2 linked regions of the Struthio camelus genome follow. The protein of the gene in region 1 purifies or fractionates together with the protein of each later gene. This does not show direct contact. Links are inferred from orthologs where the notes say so. Each region holds a gene or a part of one and is shown on either strand. Other genes may lie near its edges.

Evidence for each region.
Region 2: the proteins of HSP90B1 (region 1) and CALR fractionate together in Homo sapiens (co-fractionation; 4 studies listed by BioGRID, with this or other methods). This does not show direct contact. The link is inferred for Struthio camelus from reciprocal best matches to the Homo sapiens genes HSP90B1 and CALR.

What each region holds. Positions count from the first base shown.
Region 1 is NC_090942.1:62,746,266-62,753,858, forward strand, and holds the start of HSP90B1 (endoplasmin), read right to left. Parts: upstream 3,091-7,593; 5' UTR 2,977-3,090; coding exon 2,550-2,976; intron 2,001-2,549; coding exon 1,901-2,000; intron 1,196-1,900; coding exon 1,054-1,195; intron 965-1,053; coding exon 848-964; intron 442-847; coding exon 110-441; intron 1-109.
Region 2 is NC_090972.1:4,290,616-4,297,939, reverse strand, and holds the start of CALR (calreticulin), read right to left. Parts: upstream 3,042-7,324; 5' UTR 2,942-3,041; coding exon 2,845-2,941; intron 161-2,844; coding exon 59-160; intron 1-58. Other genes in the region: FARSA (phenylalanine--tRNA ligase alpha subunit), read left to right, coding at 3,813-3,974, 4,058-4,195, 4,278-4,376, 6,790-6,908, 6,990-7,082, 7,188-7,316. UniProt on the Homo sapiens protein: Calcium-binding chaperone that promotes folding, oligomeric assembly and quality control in the endoplasmic reticulum (ER) via the calreticulin/calnexin cycle.

The DNA of each region.
Region 1 (7,593 bases):
TCTACGTACTGACAATGCTGAAGTGACGTAAGTATTCCAACAAGGCTACATATCTCTCTATATATACACAACTATTTTTTAAATCTAAGAAAACAGACTTAACACTTACCTTATAGTTGTGCCACGTCCTAAAGTGTTTCCCCTTGGGTCATCAATCACAGAGAACTCATTTGAGTCTGACTCCCAAATATGTTGCGTATCATTATTGTGTTTTGATGTGACAATAACTCTGTCTGCTACTAAGAAAGCAGAATAAAAGCCAACACCAAACTGGCCGATTAACTCAGATGTTGACTGGCTATCATCCTGCATTTCAGTCATCTTGTTTAAGAATTCACTTGTACCAGACTTTGCAATGGTACCCAAGTTTTTAATCAGTTCCTCTTTTGTCATGCCAATACCCGTATCCGTAACATGAAGCATGTTCTTCTCTTTGTCACACTGAAAAGAGAGAAAAGATTCTATTGGACGTCCCTTTGCACACCTTTAGGCGCAATACACCACTGTGAAAGAGTGATAAGGAGACTAGCAGCTAATCATTCAAGTTAAACTTGCCTGGCTGTGATAAATTGAACTGACAGTAAGTAGAGGAGTAAGGAAAACCTGCCTTTGAGGTACTTCAGTACTTCAACTACTTTTTATGAAATCAGAGACATATTTTCAGTAGACTAAAAAAAGCAGCAATCTTTGGTGAAGCAAACTGCAAGTGTCCTGGATGTAGCGCTCATAGTTTGTGTTTGCATCAGTATTAAGCAATAAACTTATAATTTAATGAGGTACTACCTCCTTTTATTCCTTCTACTGCCCCTCAGTGGATCAGATAAAACGGTTATCTCATGCTTCTTACCTTGATTTTGACAGTAAGTTCCTCATTACCAGCAAGAGCATTCTCATCAGTTAAGGATATTAACCTTATCTTGTCTAAAGCATCAGAAGCATTTGAAATAAGTTCCCTCAGGAAAATCTGAAATAGAAATCAGTAGTCAAGGACTCAAAAACACACACACACACACACAAATGGTCCTAGGATGTTCTCCTGACAAAAGCACTAACCTCCTTGTTTTTATATAAAGAATTGATAATAAGTTTCATCATTCTGTTAACTTCTGCTTGAAATGCAAACTTCTCAGATTTTTCTCTGATTTCTTTTATCTGGGATGCGTTCAGGCCATCTAGCTGGATAGCTTCTTCCTCTCTGTGAAAACAATGGAAAACTTGTTCATATACAGTACCACTCTTTTTCCAGTCTAGCAACAGACTTCAATGTCACATCACCAATGAGACCCTGAATTACCAAAACAGCTGGCATAAAGTTAAATGCCCACATCAGATACGTGCAACAGTAGCCATCCTCTACTGCTTAACCCCAACCCAAGTTAAGACTCAAGTGAAAAATCCTGCTCGCAAATCAGACTTTCTTTTATAAAAAACACAAGGAAGAATACAGGCATTTTACAATCACTGTAACTCTCAGCACACAGTACACTTTACAGAAGATTAAGTGTTTCACAGTTAAAAAAAACAAACAAACCTATGCCATCGGTAGGCATGGAACTCATATTGTTTACCACGTGCAGTTACATGCAAGAAAAAACCCCTGTTGACCTGCTCTTATGCCACTACTGCTATTACACAAAGTATTTCTGAACACAGTTACCTCAGACTCTTCTCTACTCATAAGAGAGGAGCAGTTTCAGAAATAGATATTACTCTACTGTTCCTCTACCTGACTAAATTTCTCCAGCTTAATGAAACCATATCTTTGAAGGGTTATCTCCCCCCCCCGCCCCAAAACCACCTTTTATACTTTGGGCATTAGTGGTATAAAAACTGACCCTTAAAATAATTAGAATAGCCTTAACAGTTCAGAAGTAACTAATCCACGCTTCCAGCTACCAACCTCTGAACAACTTCATCGTCTGTTCGAGATCCTTCTCTGCTTTTACCCAAGTCATCTTCTACGGTCCCATCCACATCCACTTCATCAGCTCTAACTGACACTGGAAAAGCAAGAATTCCAACAAGATGGACCAGAATCCCATTCCACACCACTAGAGAACTCTTCTTCACCAGTCACAAAAATTTTCAGACTCAGGTCTGTCCATTCTTCCACCCATCCCTGGGGGAAGCTTACCCCACTCAGGGGCATCAGAAAGGGAGGAAAGGGATTGGACCCCCCCCCCCCAACAGCGCATGAGCAGTCCCGCGCGTACCTTCCCCTGCCCCCAACCACCTCCTTCCCTAGGGGAGGCCAACAGCAGCTCAGGAGAGAGCAGGACACAAGAACAAGCACGACTTCGCCCTCCCCTCTGTTACACCTGCGGGGGAAGGCGCTGGGACAGCGACCGCTGAAGCAAAGGGACCCTCTACGCCGACAGGGCTCCAACGGCCCCACCCGGGTCCCCGTCGGCCTCCGCCCACTCCTTCTCCCCTAGCAAGGAAAGGGGAGCGGGAGCTGCCACCGGGGGAGACTTCCCCCCCCCCCCATAACCGCCGCTCGGCAGAAGCTTCTAGAAGGCGATAGGCGAGGAAGCAGCCACGGGACTCACCAGCCAGGAGCAGAGTGCACGCGAGAGCGAGCCCCCACACCGGCTTCATGGCGACGCGGGTTTGCGGCCGCAGAAGAGCACAGCCCCGGGCGACACCTGACTCGCGCTCACGAGCCCGCCGCCACCGCACGCAGACGCCGCCACCCCGCGCCGCTGAACCGCTGGGACGGCCGCGGCCCTCCCCCTTCGCCTTATCAATGCGGGGCGCCCAGGGGTGGGGGGAAAGGCTCTCCCGGACTGGCCAATCAGAGCGTACCACGCCAAACACGCAGCCAATGGTCAGGCTGGGAAGGTGGGGCCCGGCGCCAGCGCCGCCAATCGCGGCTTTCCATGTGCGGTTTCCTGCGGGCAGAGCGTGGCCGGCCCCGATTGGCTGGGGGGGAGGTGCGTTTGGCCAATCATGTCCACGGACGGGTCTAGGCCGCATGGCCTTCCAGCATAATTTTTTAATGAAGAAGCCATAAATGTTTAACACCGAGGCCACGTGGCTCGCAGCGAGCGCGGCCGCACTTGAGGAGCGAGAAGAAAAATCTCCACATGGGCAGAGCGACGCCAACCGCTTCCGGGGGCACCCGGAATGTTTACCGTAGAGACAGTCGCTATGGCAACGAGCGCTTCCGGTCGTTGCGGCCCGCCGCACCCCGAGGTACCGAGGCGGCAGGCGGGCGGGTGGGGGGGGACAGGGGAGCACGCGGAGAGCGACGTTAAACCGTGCGGCAGAGAAGCGGCAACAGCGCCGGCTGTGACCCGCCGTGCCCGGCAGAGGCGGGGCGTCCCCACCCCTCAGCGGCGGCTGGGGCACCGGCTCCTGGGGCCTGCTCCCGCCGCCCGCAAAGGCCGGCGGGATGCTGGGCGGGGCGAGCCGCGGGGCATGCCGGGAGTGGTAGTGCGCGGGGGCGGGGCGGCACCCCCTGCCGCCGCGGGTGGGGCGCGGCGGAGGGGAAGGGCCGTTACCGCCCCGCCCCCCGCCCCGCCCCTCCCCCACCGGAGGCCGACTGGTCTAAGAGCAGCGTGTGAGGGCTGGGCCTGACAGGGGAGAGGTCCGCGTTGCCTGCGCCGTCGGGTCAAGGCTGGGAGGAGGTGGGAGACTATGAATATTTTTCAGGCATACGAATTTTTAAAAGGAAGAACAAACACTGCGTGCAAAGCCGGAAGCGTACTGCCGTTGAAAAATTGGACGTTCTTAAGCAATGAGGGTTCACAAGTGATCACATGTAACCGACTACGTTTTGTAGGTTGGTCCGCTGCCTGAAGCGCCCGTACAAGTTCCCCCTTGCTTTCCTGTGCAAGCCTGCCCTAGCTTTCGCGTGCCGGGCACCCGTTTTGTCGTGTTCAACATTAGCTTGCCAAGAAGATTAAAAAAAAAAAAAAATACCTGGCCACCAATGATGTAATGAACTCTGTACCTGCAGAGGAATGTGTTTGAAAACTATTGATCTGAGATGTTCAGTATAAAAGGTAAGGCCAGTGTATTGAATAACTTGACAAGCGTTCAAGTTAGTCTATCCGCACGTTGCTAAAATTTTCTTTCGGAAAAATTAAGCTCATCATCTTTAGTTATACAGCGGGCCAGTTAGTTTTCCGGCTTCAAAACTCAGTGCAGTGCCTTTACCGATGATTAAAGTTTATAGCCTTAGAAAGGAGCCTCTGTATTACAGTGAGTAATGGTTATCCTTGGGTTCTTCTTAATGCGGCCAAGATTCTAGTTCAAGAGTAATCATTTAAAAAGCTATTTAAAAATAATCCATGAAGCTTTCTTCTATGATCTGCGGTTACATTAGTTTTACTTCAGAGGCTGCTGCTCCACTGATCAAATATTATAAGAGAAATAAGAGGGAAATTTACTTTTCCAAAAAGTATGTGAGAAAGACTACGATAAATTAAGTATAAGAGAGCTCAGGGTCAGGATTGTGAGTAAAAGACAGCCTGTCAGGTTTTTTATGGAGACCAATGTGAACTTGGAGAATTATTTTACAAGGACCGGTCTTACCTGATTGAAAATATTCTCCAGTCTTCAAGTCTGCAAATATAACTTGGTCACTCTAAAATCTAAATGGAGAAAGTTTGTCTTTCCGAAAAGTCAGCTACAAACATTTCCAGGACTGGGTTTCCTAATTATATCTCTATGATTCCTAGAGTGAAATATGTTACTCTACAAGTGTGAATACGAGTTAGAGATTCACAGAGTAAACTGATTTCCAACTTGAAGAATTTTTGCATTGCCAAATTTTATGGCAGTTTTGTTTTAGCGGTTACTTTCCTGGCAATGAGAAAATGTAATACTTCATTGCAAACTTTTTGAACTTTGGCAGCTGCAATAGCATGAATGCACACCCGCATTGTCTGTTATTGACATTGCTAAACCAACAGAGATTTTAGATAAAGTTTGGTGGAATCCAAATTTGGTTGGTTTCCTTACTCTCACGATTATGCAAGTTAGAATGATGTTTTTGAAGGAGATAGGAAACCTAATAAACCTATGTTTTGTCCTTTGCATTTAGAGGTCAGAAACTAGTAAGAAGTGTGATGTACTTAGCTGCACTGATTGCTTTATGTACGTTATACTGTTTGCTTTCATTAAAGCCTGGTTGGATTACCCAGGACAAAAGTGATACCTAAGAATGAGGAGGCTGAGTACTTGCGCTCTCACAAAGACAATTTGATTTCTTTGCACAGTCTGACAATTGAAGAAAGTATCTTCTTTGACTGCATACTGAACTGCTAAAATTGTTTCTTCTACCTAATTTTAAACTATATTATGACATTAAAAGTTCTTTCTTAACTTGAACTATCGAATACTGCTGTTACTGGAGTTTTAATGCAAAGCTGGATGGCTTTTCTTCTCTTTTTGTCACTCTTCGGGGAGATTTTTAAATCTTAGTTGTACTGACCACTAGCGCCATTCAAAATAAGTCTGGACATCACTTTTCAGGATTTAACACCAAAGTAAGGGTATAACTCTTAAGAAGTAATAGTTCTTTAGTGGAGGAACTTAGCTACATTAAGGAATACTTTAAAGCCGTCAAATATACTTTTGACGATTGTGTGCATAATAACTTAAAGAGTATACTTAAGTGCTATATTTTCTCTTATAACTAAAAATGCTGGGGCATTTGGTGATAAAAGAAACAGAGTACAGGCAGCATTTTTTTTTCCACGCAAATAGCAGAGCAAGTCTTTCTCCAACGCTCAGAATACACCATTATCAGCTCATCCACCTGTCCTTGGGGAAGTCTGGTCTGCTAACTGAAGCGTGCCACATGATTCCAACTAGGAGTTGTAGCTAACAAGAAGTATTAGCTTGCCAGAAATAGCTGTAGAGATAAATTGAGAGGTGTTCACACGATCCAACTTTAGGTATTTGACTTAACCGGCTAAATTAGCCAGCTAATCTCCCTTGGCTCCATCTGTAATAAATAGAGACAGTCCTTCTTTCATTGCACTGGCTGTGGCATGTGTCAGACTCTTTCCTGAGCTGATTTAACCCTCTGGGCCAGCAAAATACCCTCTAGTTAAATCAGCTTATATTGGGTCTGATGTGCCCCAGACTGGAGCAAGGTAAAGAGCAGGAATCACTAGGAGAAAGCGATATTCTCCTTTTGCTGGTGGTGGGTCGAGCCACCACTTCTGGAATCCTGGAACGTAACTTACAGAGAGCAAAGACGTTGTACACGAGTGTAAATGTAAAGAAACCATAAAACTGAACAATGAGTTTGCTTTGGCAGAATATTTCCTCTTTTAACACACAGGCAAATTGAAATTTGTAACTAATGCAAGTTCCATTTTTATTCATGGACAATAAAAATGCTCAAGTTTGTGTCACTGCTAGTAAGGCCTGTACTGTCATACTGGTTTTGATAAAGAAAAATGAGTGATTTTATTTTAGAATAACTAATGCAGCCTGAAATTTGTACCACCAGATTAAGCCTTGGCTTTCTTGCATTATCATGCACTGTAAATACTAAGAATTACTTATTTGAATTCTCTGTAATTTGAGCTTCATTTGTATCCTTACTGAAACAATAAATCAAGAGTTAGCATTCCTTCCCTTCTGCAGCCTCTGCTTCAGGGGCTAAATACTGTAAATACAAACAAACTGGAGAGATATCTGCTTCTTAAAGATGCTTGACAATATTTGGGACTGAGTATTTGAGTATATAAAACAAAAAGTGCTGCTATTAGGTGGCTTTTCAAGGCAGTTATCCGAATCTTAGAAAATATTAACAGTAACTACAAACAAGCAAGATTAAAATACTGTTGTTTGTAAATAATGGTGCCTTTCTAAATGGTTATGCTATGATTATTCTTACCTGCTTTCTTTTTATCAAGAACAACTATTGAACAAAATAACATGTTTTGACTTCAGTCTTCTTTCAATTAGTAGAAATACATTTTCCACCCACTACCCACTTATTTAGTCTCAGAACTATTAATCTGCACGAAAGAGGATTCTTAATATTCTAACTGAAAGGATTCCTGTGCTGCTTTCCTTCCGGTACTGTGAAAGGCTACTCAAATAGTCTACGGCTTTATGTACAAACGTAACACACAGATTCTTTAAAGCCTGTTTTTTAAATCTTTTGTTCTTCCCAAAGAAACAATCACACAGATAGTTTTATTAATATTAGAGCTTTTTTTCCCAGTCATAATTTATGTAACCTATTAGGTATAGGTATATTTTCTGTATTCAGAACTCACATGAGTGCGGTATGAAAAAGGTAGGTGAAGTGGAATTTAGAGCTTGTGGTTCTTTGAATTATGCATATGTGAAAGAAAACAGTAAGCACAGAGTGTTTGTGTCCGACCTTGATGTTCAGATAGAAGACAACCTCTTCACTTTTTTCACTATAAATGCAGGCCTGTCAGCTTCCCTGATGTGGCTGTTTAGTAGATTTCTATTAGTTACAGTAGTCTCACCTCCTGCTTTTGACCTGGTTTTCCTGGGTTTCTGAAATTTGGCAGTTTGCGCAGCTGTATATCTGTGCAGCTCAGCCAGATAGCCGCTGAAGATCCATAGAGCTGCTCTTGCTATAACACTGAGTCT
Region 2 (7,324 bases), on another chromosome or scaffold:
ACAGGCGGAGGGAAAGGTCCTTATCTCCGGGGAGGCCGGCCAGCAGCCGGCACCTCACCTTTATCCTTCTCGGCGTCGCCGTAGAACTTGCCGGCCGTGAGGATGAACTTGCCGTAGTCCGACTTGTGCTTGGATTCCACCCACCGGCTGCTCCAGGCATCTGCGGAGAGGGCAGAGGGTCAGGGAGGCGCCGGCCCGCGCTCGGCGCGGCCCCGCGTGACCCCGGGTTTCCCCCTAAAGGCGGGAACAGCCCGTAAGAGCCGAAACCCGACCGAGCGCTGGCCGCTGCCGGGGGGGGTCTCCCTCGGCACCGAGGGCTCCCCCCCACCCAGGGAAGGGTCGCTGTGGAGGCAGCCGCCTCCGCGGTGGAGCCGGGCAGCCGAAACGCGGCGGCTTCAGGGCTAGGCAGCGTTCGCGGAGGGAAGAGGGAAGCAGGACGGCTCCAACCCCGCTCGGGGAGACCGGGGCGGGGGGAACGGGCCTCGGCGCCGGGCTCGTCCCCGCGTCCCCTCCGGCCCGGCGCTCTGCCCGCAGCGGCCGGGGATTGAACGCGCCCCTAGAGCTGAACGGGGAACAGGCCGGCTTCCTGCCACCTGCACGGCCCGGCCGGGATCCGTCACACTCCGGAGGAGCCCTTCGATACAGGCCGCCCACCTGCGCCCGTGAGGCACGGCAGCACCCGTGACGGCCCCCTGCGTCCCCCTCCCCGGCGCCCTGGCGGGAGGCCGGAGCTGCCGGGGAAGGTCTCCGCGGTGGGGTGGGCTCGGCTGTCGCAGCGCCGCCGCCGCCGCAGCAGGACTCGGGGCCGATAAACCACAACGGGAGCCAGCTCCTGTCCTGCCTCCCCCCCACCCTGTGGGGGAACATCCCACCGAAAGCCCTGCTGTCCCCCCCCTCCGGCTCCGGGGTGGGGGGAGAAGGGGACAGCTCTGCCCTCAACAGCCCCATCCAAAGGCCTTTTGTTCCCCCCAGCTCTAGGGGAGGCCTCACAGCCCCCGCAGCCCCCCCAAAGCCTTACCCCTTCCCAGAGGCCTCTCAGGCTCCGGTGTCTTCCCCAGGACCCCCAGGCCCAGGGAGCCTTATGCCCCCCCCCACCAAGGCCTCCAGCCCTTCCCAGACACCTTGCAGCCCCTCACTCCTTCCCCAGGACCCCCAGGCCCAGGGAGCCTTATGCCCCCCCCACCAAGGCCTCCAGCCCTTCCCAGACACCTTGCAGCCCCTCACTCCTTCCCCAGGACCCCCAGCCCCAGGGAGGCCTTAGGCCCCCCATCAAGGCCTCCAGCCCTTCCCAGACACCTTGCAGCCCCTCACTCCTTCCCCAGGACCCCCAGCCCCAGGGAGGCCTTAGGCCCCCCCCACCAAGGCCTCCATCCCTTCCCAGACACCTTGCAGCCCCTCACTCCTTCCCCAGGACCCCCAGCCCCAGGGAGGCCTTAGGCCCCCCCCATCAAGGCCTCCAGCCCTTCCCAGACACCTTGCAGCCCCTCACTCCTTCCCCAGGACCCCCAGCCCCAGGGAGGCCTTAGGCCCCCCACCAAGGCCTCCAGCCCTTCCCAGACACCTTGCAGCCCCTCACTCCTTCCCCAGGACCCCCAGCCCCAGGGAGGCCTTAGGCCCCCCACCAAGGCCTCCAGCCCTTCCCAGACACCTTGCAGCCCCTCACTCCTTCCCCAGGACCCCCAGCCCCAGGGAGGCCTTAGGCCCCCCACCAAGGCCTCCAGCCCTTCCCAGACACCTTGCAGCCCCTCACTCCTTCCCCAGGACCCCCAGCCCCAGGGAGGCCTTAGGCCCCCCACCAAGGCCTCCAGCCCTTCCCAGACACCTTGCAGCCCCTCACTCCTTCCCCAGGACCCCCAGCCCCAGGGAGGCCTTAGGCCCCCCACCAAGGCCTCCAGCCCTTCCCAGACACCTTGCAGCCCCTCACTCCTTCCCCAGGACCCCCAGCCCCAGGGAGGCCTTAGGCCCCCCACCAAGGCCTCCAGCCCTTCCCAGACACCTTGCAGCCCCTCACTCCTTCCCCAGGACCCCCAGCCCCAGGGAGGCCTTAGGCCCCCCCCCCCCACCAAGGCCTCCAGCCCTTCCCAGACACCTTGCAGCCCCTCACTCCTTCCCCAGGACCCCCAGCCCCAGGGAGGCCTTAGGCCCCCCCCCCCCCACCAAGGCCTCCAGCCCTTCCCAGACACCTTGCAGCCCCTCACTCCTTCCCCAGGACCCCCAGCCCCAGGGAGGCCTTAGGCCCCCCACAAGGCCTCCATCCCTTCCCAGACACCTTGCAGCCCCTCACTCCTTCCCCAGGACCCCCAGCCCTAGCTCAGGGCAGACACAGATGTCCTTCCCACGACCCTCATGCCCAGACCAGGCCTCTCAGCTCCCTATATCCATCCTGTGACCCTCATCCCTCCCACCCCAAGCCCTCAAAAGACCTCTCAGGTCCCCCCTTCCCCAGCACCCCCAACCCTACCTCAAGGTAGACTCAGCCCCCAAAAGACCCCTACAGCCTTCCTCAGACCCTCACCCCTCCCAGCCCCAGCTGAGGACAGACCCCTCAGGCCCTGCACCTACCCCAAGACCCCCAGACCAGGCCTACAGCCCCCCGCATCCCTCCTGTACCCCTAGGCCAGGGGAAGACCTCGCAGGCCCCACAGCTGCCCCAGGACCCCCAACCCAACCCGGCAGCCCCCCCCATGAGCCCCTAGGCCCTCATGACACCCCAAGACATCCCCTCTCCCCCCGACCCCCATCGCAGCCCCCCCCCAGCCCAGAGAAGACGCCTGGGGCCCTTCAGACGCAGCCCCACATCCTGCCTAGGGCCCCCCACCCCCAGCGGTGGGGCTCCCCCCTCACCTCCATCCCCGAACTCCTCCCGGAAGTACTGGGTGGGCCCCGCCGCCACCAGCCCCAGGAGGGCGCCGAGCAGAAGGGGGAGACCCAGGGGGCTCATGTCGCCGGGGGTCCCACACAGTGCGGCGGAGGCGCCTGGCCCTTTAAGACATTCGGCCCTGCCCGGCCCGGCGGCACCCAGACACTGCGGAGGGGGGCGGCGGCGACGCCCGCATTTATATGGCCGCGGCAGCTGGGCCCGCCCCTGCCCGCTCCCCATTGGCCCGAGCTCGTGAGGGGCTCGCTCCCATTGGCCCCTCGCCCGCTCGCCGGCTTCGGCGGCTCCCCCGAACGTTGGCGTCCCAGATGGCCGCTTCCCATTGGCTGAGCGCGGGGGCCAATGAGGAGCGACCACGCGTTCGGGGGGAGACGCCCCCCCCTCCCCCCGCGCTCCTGCCCTCCCTCCGCGCGCTGCGTCGCTCGCTCTCGGGGTCACGTGGGGCCCGGACGCTCTTAAAGGGCCAGGCTGCTGCGGAGCACGTGGGAGCAGGCGCTCGCCATCCCATAATAGCAGCAGGAAGGGGGAGAGGGGGATCAAGGTCGGGGGGGGAACCCAGGCATGTTGCTATGGCAACGGTCATAGGGTGGGGAATAAGCCTGCCGTTACAGCAACTGACTTCAGTGCAGCAAACTGTGGGTGAGGCTGGTTGCTGGGGAGGGGGGCTGGGCCTAGTGCCTGATGACGTCACGCTGACGTCCGAACACGTCACTCGGCCGCGGCACTCGGCTGCCTTCCTATCGCCAGCAGCCCCTTCCCCCTCCCCGCATCGGCCGCTTCGGGGCTTCTTGCCACACTCAAGATGGCGCCCGCGCCACTCTCAAGATGGCGGCGCTGAGCAGGTCAGCGGGCACGCCCACACCGGGCACGCCCCCTTTCCCCCTCAGGAGCACTTCCGGGTCGCGCGGAGGGAGTCCTTCCGGCGGGCGCCGCCATGTCGCCCGGTGTGGCCGAGCTGCTGCTGCGGCGGCTGGAGCGGGAGGCGCCGGGGCCCGGGCCGGGCGGGGGTCTCTGCAGCCTGGAGGCGGCCGCCGAGCTCGGCCTCGACCACCAGACGCTGGTGGGCGCCGTCAAGAGTCTCCAGGCGCTGGGCGAGGTGCGGCGGCGGTAAGGGCGGCCGGTAGCGGCGGCGGTGGCGGTGCCGCCGCCGCCGCTCAGGGCCGCCCGGTGCCGCCGCAGGTGATCGAGGCGGAGCCGCGGGCCGCCACCCGCTGGGAGCTGAGCGCCGAGGGCGAGGCGGTGGCGCGGGACGGCAGCCACGAGGTGCGCGTCTTCGAGAGCCTGCCCGGCGAGGGGCTGCCGCACAGCGAGCTCATGGTGAGCACCGGCACCGGGGGGGGGGGCCCGCGGGGGGGGGCCCGGCGGACCCCGGGCTGCAGCCGGCCGCTGCCGCCCGCAGAAGCTGCCCGGCGCCAAGGTGGGCTTCAGCAAGGCCATGGCCAACAAGTGGGTGCGGCTGGACAAGGAGGCGCCCGGCGGCCCCCGCGTCTTCCGCGCCGTGAGTTTGGGGAAGGGGGGGGAGAGGGGAGTGGTGGGGGGGGGTCTCCCTGTCCCCGGGGGTCCCCCGTCCCCAAGGCTGAGCCCGTCCCCGGGGGTCCCCTGTCCCCGGGGGTCCCCCGTCCCCGAGGCTGAGCCCGTCCCCGGGGGTCTCCCTGTCCCCGAGGGCCCCTGTCCCCAAGGCTGAGCCCGTCCCCGGGGGTCTCCCTGTCCCCGAGGGCCCCTGTCCCCAAGGCTGAGCCCGTCCCCGGGGGTCTCCCTGTCCCCGAGGGCCCCCGTCCCCTGTCCCCAAGGCTGAGCCCGTCCCCGGGGGTCTCCCTGTCCCCGAGGGCCCCCGTCCCCCGTCCCCAAGGCTGAGCCTGTCCCCGGGGGTCCCCTGTCCTCGAGGGCCCCCGTCCCTAAGGCTGAGCCTGTCCCCGGGGGTCCCCTGTCCCTGAGGGCCCCCATCCCCCGTCCCCAAGGCTGAGCCCGTCCCCGGGGGTCTGCTGACCCCAGGGATCCCCTGTCACCGTCTCTGAGGGTCCTCCATCCCTGGACTGAGCCCTTCCCCAGGGTCCCCTGTCCCCGAGGGTGCTGTGTCCCCACGCTCAGGCTGAGCCTGTCCCTGAGGGTCCTTCATCCCCAGGCTGAGCCTGCCCCCGAGGGTCCCCTGTCCCCGAGGGTCTCCTGTCACTGTCCCCGAGGGTCCTCTGTCCCTGGAGCGAGCTGTTCTGCAGGTCCCCTGTCCCCAAGGGTCCCCTGTCACTGTCCCCGAGGGTCCTCTGTCCCTGGAGCTAGCTGTTCTGTGGGTCCCCTGTCCCCGAGGGTCCCCTGTCACTGTCCCCGAGGGTCCTCTGTCCCTGGAGCAAGCTGTTCTGCGGGTCCCCTGTCCCCGAGGGTCCCCTGTCACTGTCCCCGAGGGTCCTGTGTCCCTGGAGCTAGCTGTTCTGCGGGTCCCCTGTCCCCGAGGGTCCCCTGTCACTGTCCCCGAGGGTCCTGTGTCCCTGGAGCTAGCTGTTCTGCGGGTCCCCTGTCCCTGAGGGTCCCCTGTCCCTGGAGCGAGCTGTTCTGCAGCTCCCCTGTCCCCAGGGGTCCCCCGTCACTGTCCCAGGGCTGTGCCTGTCCCTGAGGGTCGCTGTCCCCATCCTGTTGCTGTCCCTAGGCTGAGCCTGTCCCCAAGGGTCCCCGGTCCCGGAGCTGTCCCCGTCCCTGAGCGCCCCCCCATCCCCAGGGGTCCCCTGTCACCATCCCAGGGCTGTCCCTGAGGGTCCCCCGTCCCTGGCTGTTCCTGGTCCCGAGGGTCCCCTGGCTGAGCCCATCCCAAGGGTCCCCTCTCCTCGTCCCCGAGGGTCCCCCACTGCCGTCCCGGGGCTGTCCCCGTCCCCGCGGGTCCCCCGTCCCGGGGCTGTCCCCGTCCCCGAGGGTCCCCGTCCCCGAGGGTCCCCCATCCCGGGGCTGTCCCCGTCCCCGAGGGTCCCTGTCCCCACGTGTCCCCCATCCCGGGGCTGTCCCCGTCCCCGCATGTTCCCCATCCCGGGGCTGTCCCCGTCCCCGAGGGTCCCCGTCCCCACGTGTCCCCCATCCCGGGGCTGTCCCCGTCCCCACGTGTCCCCCATCCCGGGGCTGTCCCCGTCCCCGAGGGTCCCCGTCCCCACGTGTCCCCCATCCCGGGGCTGTCCCCGTCCCCGAGGGTCCCCGTCCCCACGTGTCCCCCATCCCGGGGCTGTCCCCGTCCCCGAGGGTCCCCGTCCCCACGTGTCCCCCATCCCGGGGCTGTCCCCGTCCCCGAGGGTCCCCGTCCCCACGTGTCCCCCATCCCGGGGCTGTCCCCGTCCCCGAGGGTCCCCGTCCCCACGTGTCCCCCATCCCGGGGCTGTCCCCGTCCCCACGTGTCCCCCATCCCAGGGCTGTCCCCGTCCCCGAGGGTCCCCGTCCCCGCGTGTCCCCCATCCCGGGGCTGTCCCCGTCCCCGAGGGTCCCCCATCCCGGGGCTGTCCCCGTCCCCGAGGGTCCCTGTCCCCACGTGTCCCCCATCCCGGGGCTGTCCCCGTCCCCGCATGTTCCCCATCCCGGGGCTGTCCCCGTCCCCGAGGGTCCCCGTCCCCACGTGTCCCCCATCCCGGGGCTGTCCCCGTCCCCACGTGTCCCCCATCCCAGGGCTGTCCCCGTCCCCGAGGGTCCCCGTCCCCACGTGTCCCCCATCCCAGGGCTGTCCCCGTCCCCGCGTGTCCCCCATCCCAGGGCTGTCCCCGTCCCCGAGGGTCCCTGTCCTCCTTGCAGCATCTCCCTGGTCCTCAAAATCCCTCAGCCCGTCTTGCAGTCTGTCACCCCCCCCCGTCCTCGCACCAAGAGGCTCTGCCCCGGGCTCCCCCCCCACCCCATGACGGCGCCCCGTCCCGCGTGTCCCCCCCCCCGGCGGGGTCCCGTCCCCGCAGGTGGCGGCGGTGCAGGACGCCGTGCGGGACAGCCTGCGGCGGGTGCAGCGGGGGGAGGCCGCCAGCCTGCCCGAGCGCGACCGCGCCGAGCTCAAGAAGAGGAAGCTGCTGCTGGAAGTGTGAGCGGGGGGGGGCCGGGGTGGGGGGGGGACACACACATAGACCCCCGCTGACCCCCCCACCCCGCCCGCCACCCCCAGCACCCTCAAGTCCTACTGGCTGCGCAAGGGCAGCGCCTTCAGCACGGCCGTGGCCCGCCAGGAGACGGAGCTGACGCCGGAGATGATCGCCACGTGAGTGCCGCAGGGGGGGGGCTCCGCGGACCCCCTCACCCTGGGGGGCACCCGTGGGCCCCCCCGCCTCGAGCCCTGCTGCTGCACCCCCCCCCCCCCCCGCAGGGGCTCCTGGCGGCAGCGGCCCTTCAAGGCCTACAACTTCGCGGCGCTGGGGCTGCCGCCCGCCTGCGGCCACCTCCACCCCCTGCTCAAGGTGCGCTCCCAGTTCCGCCAGATCTTCCTGGAGATGGGGTGAGTGG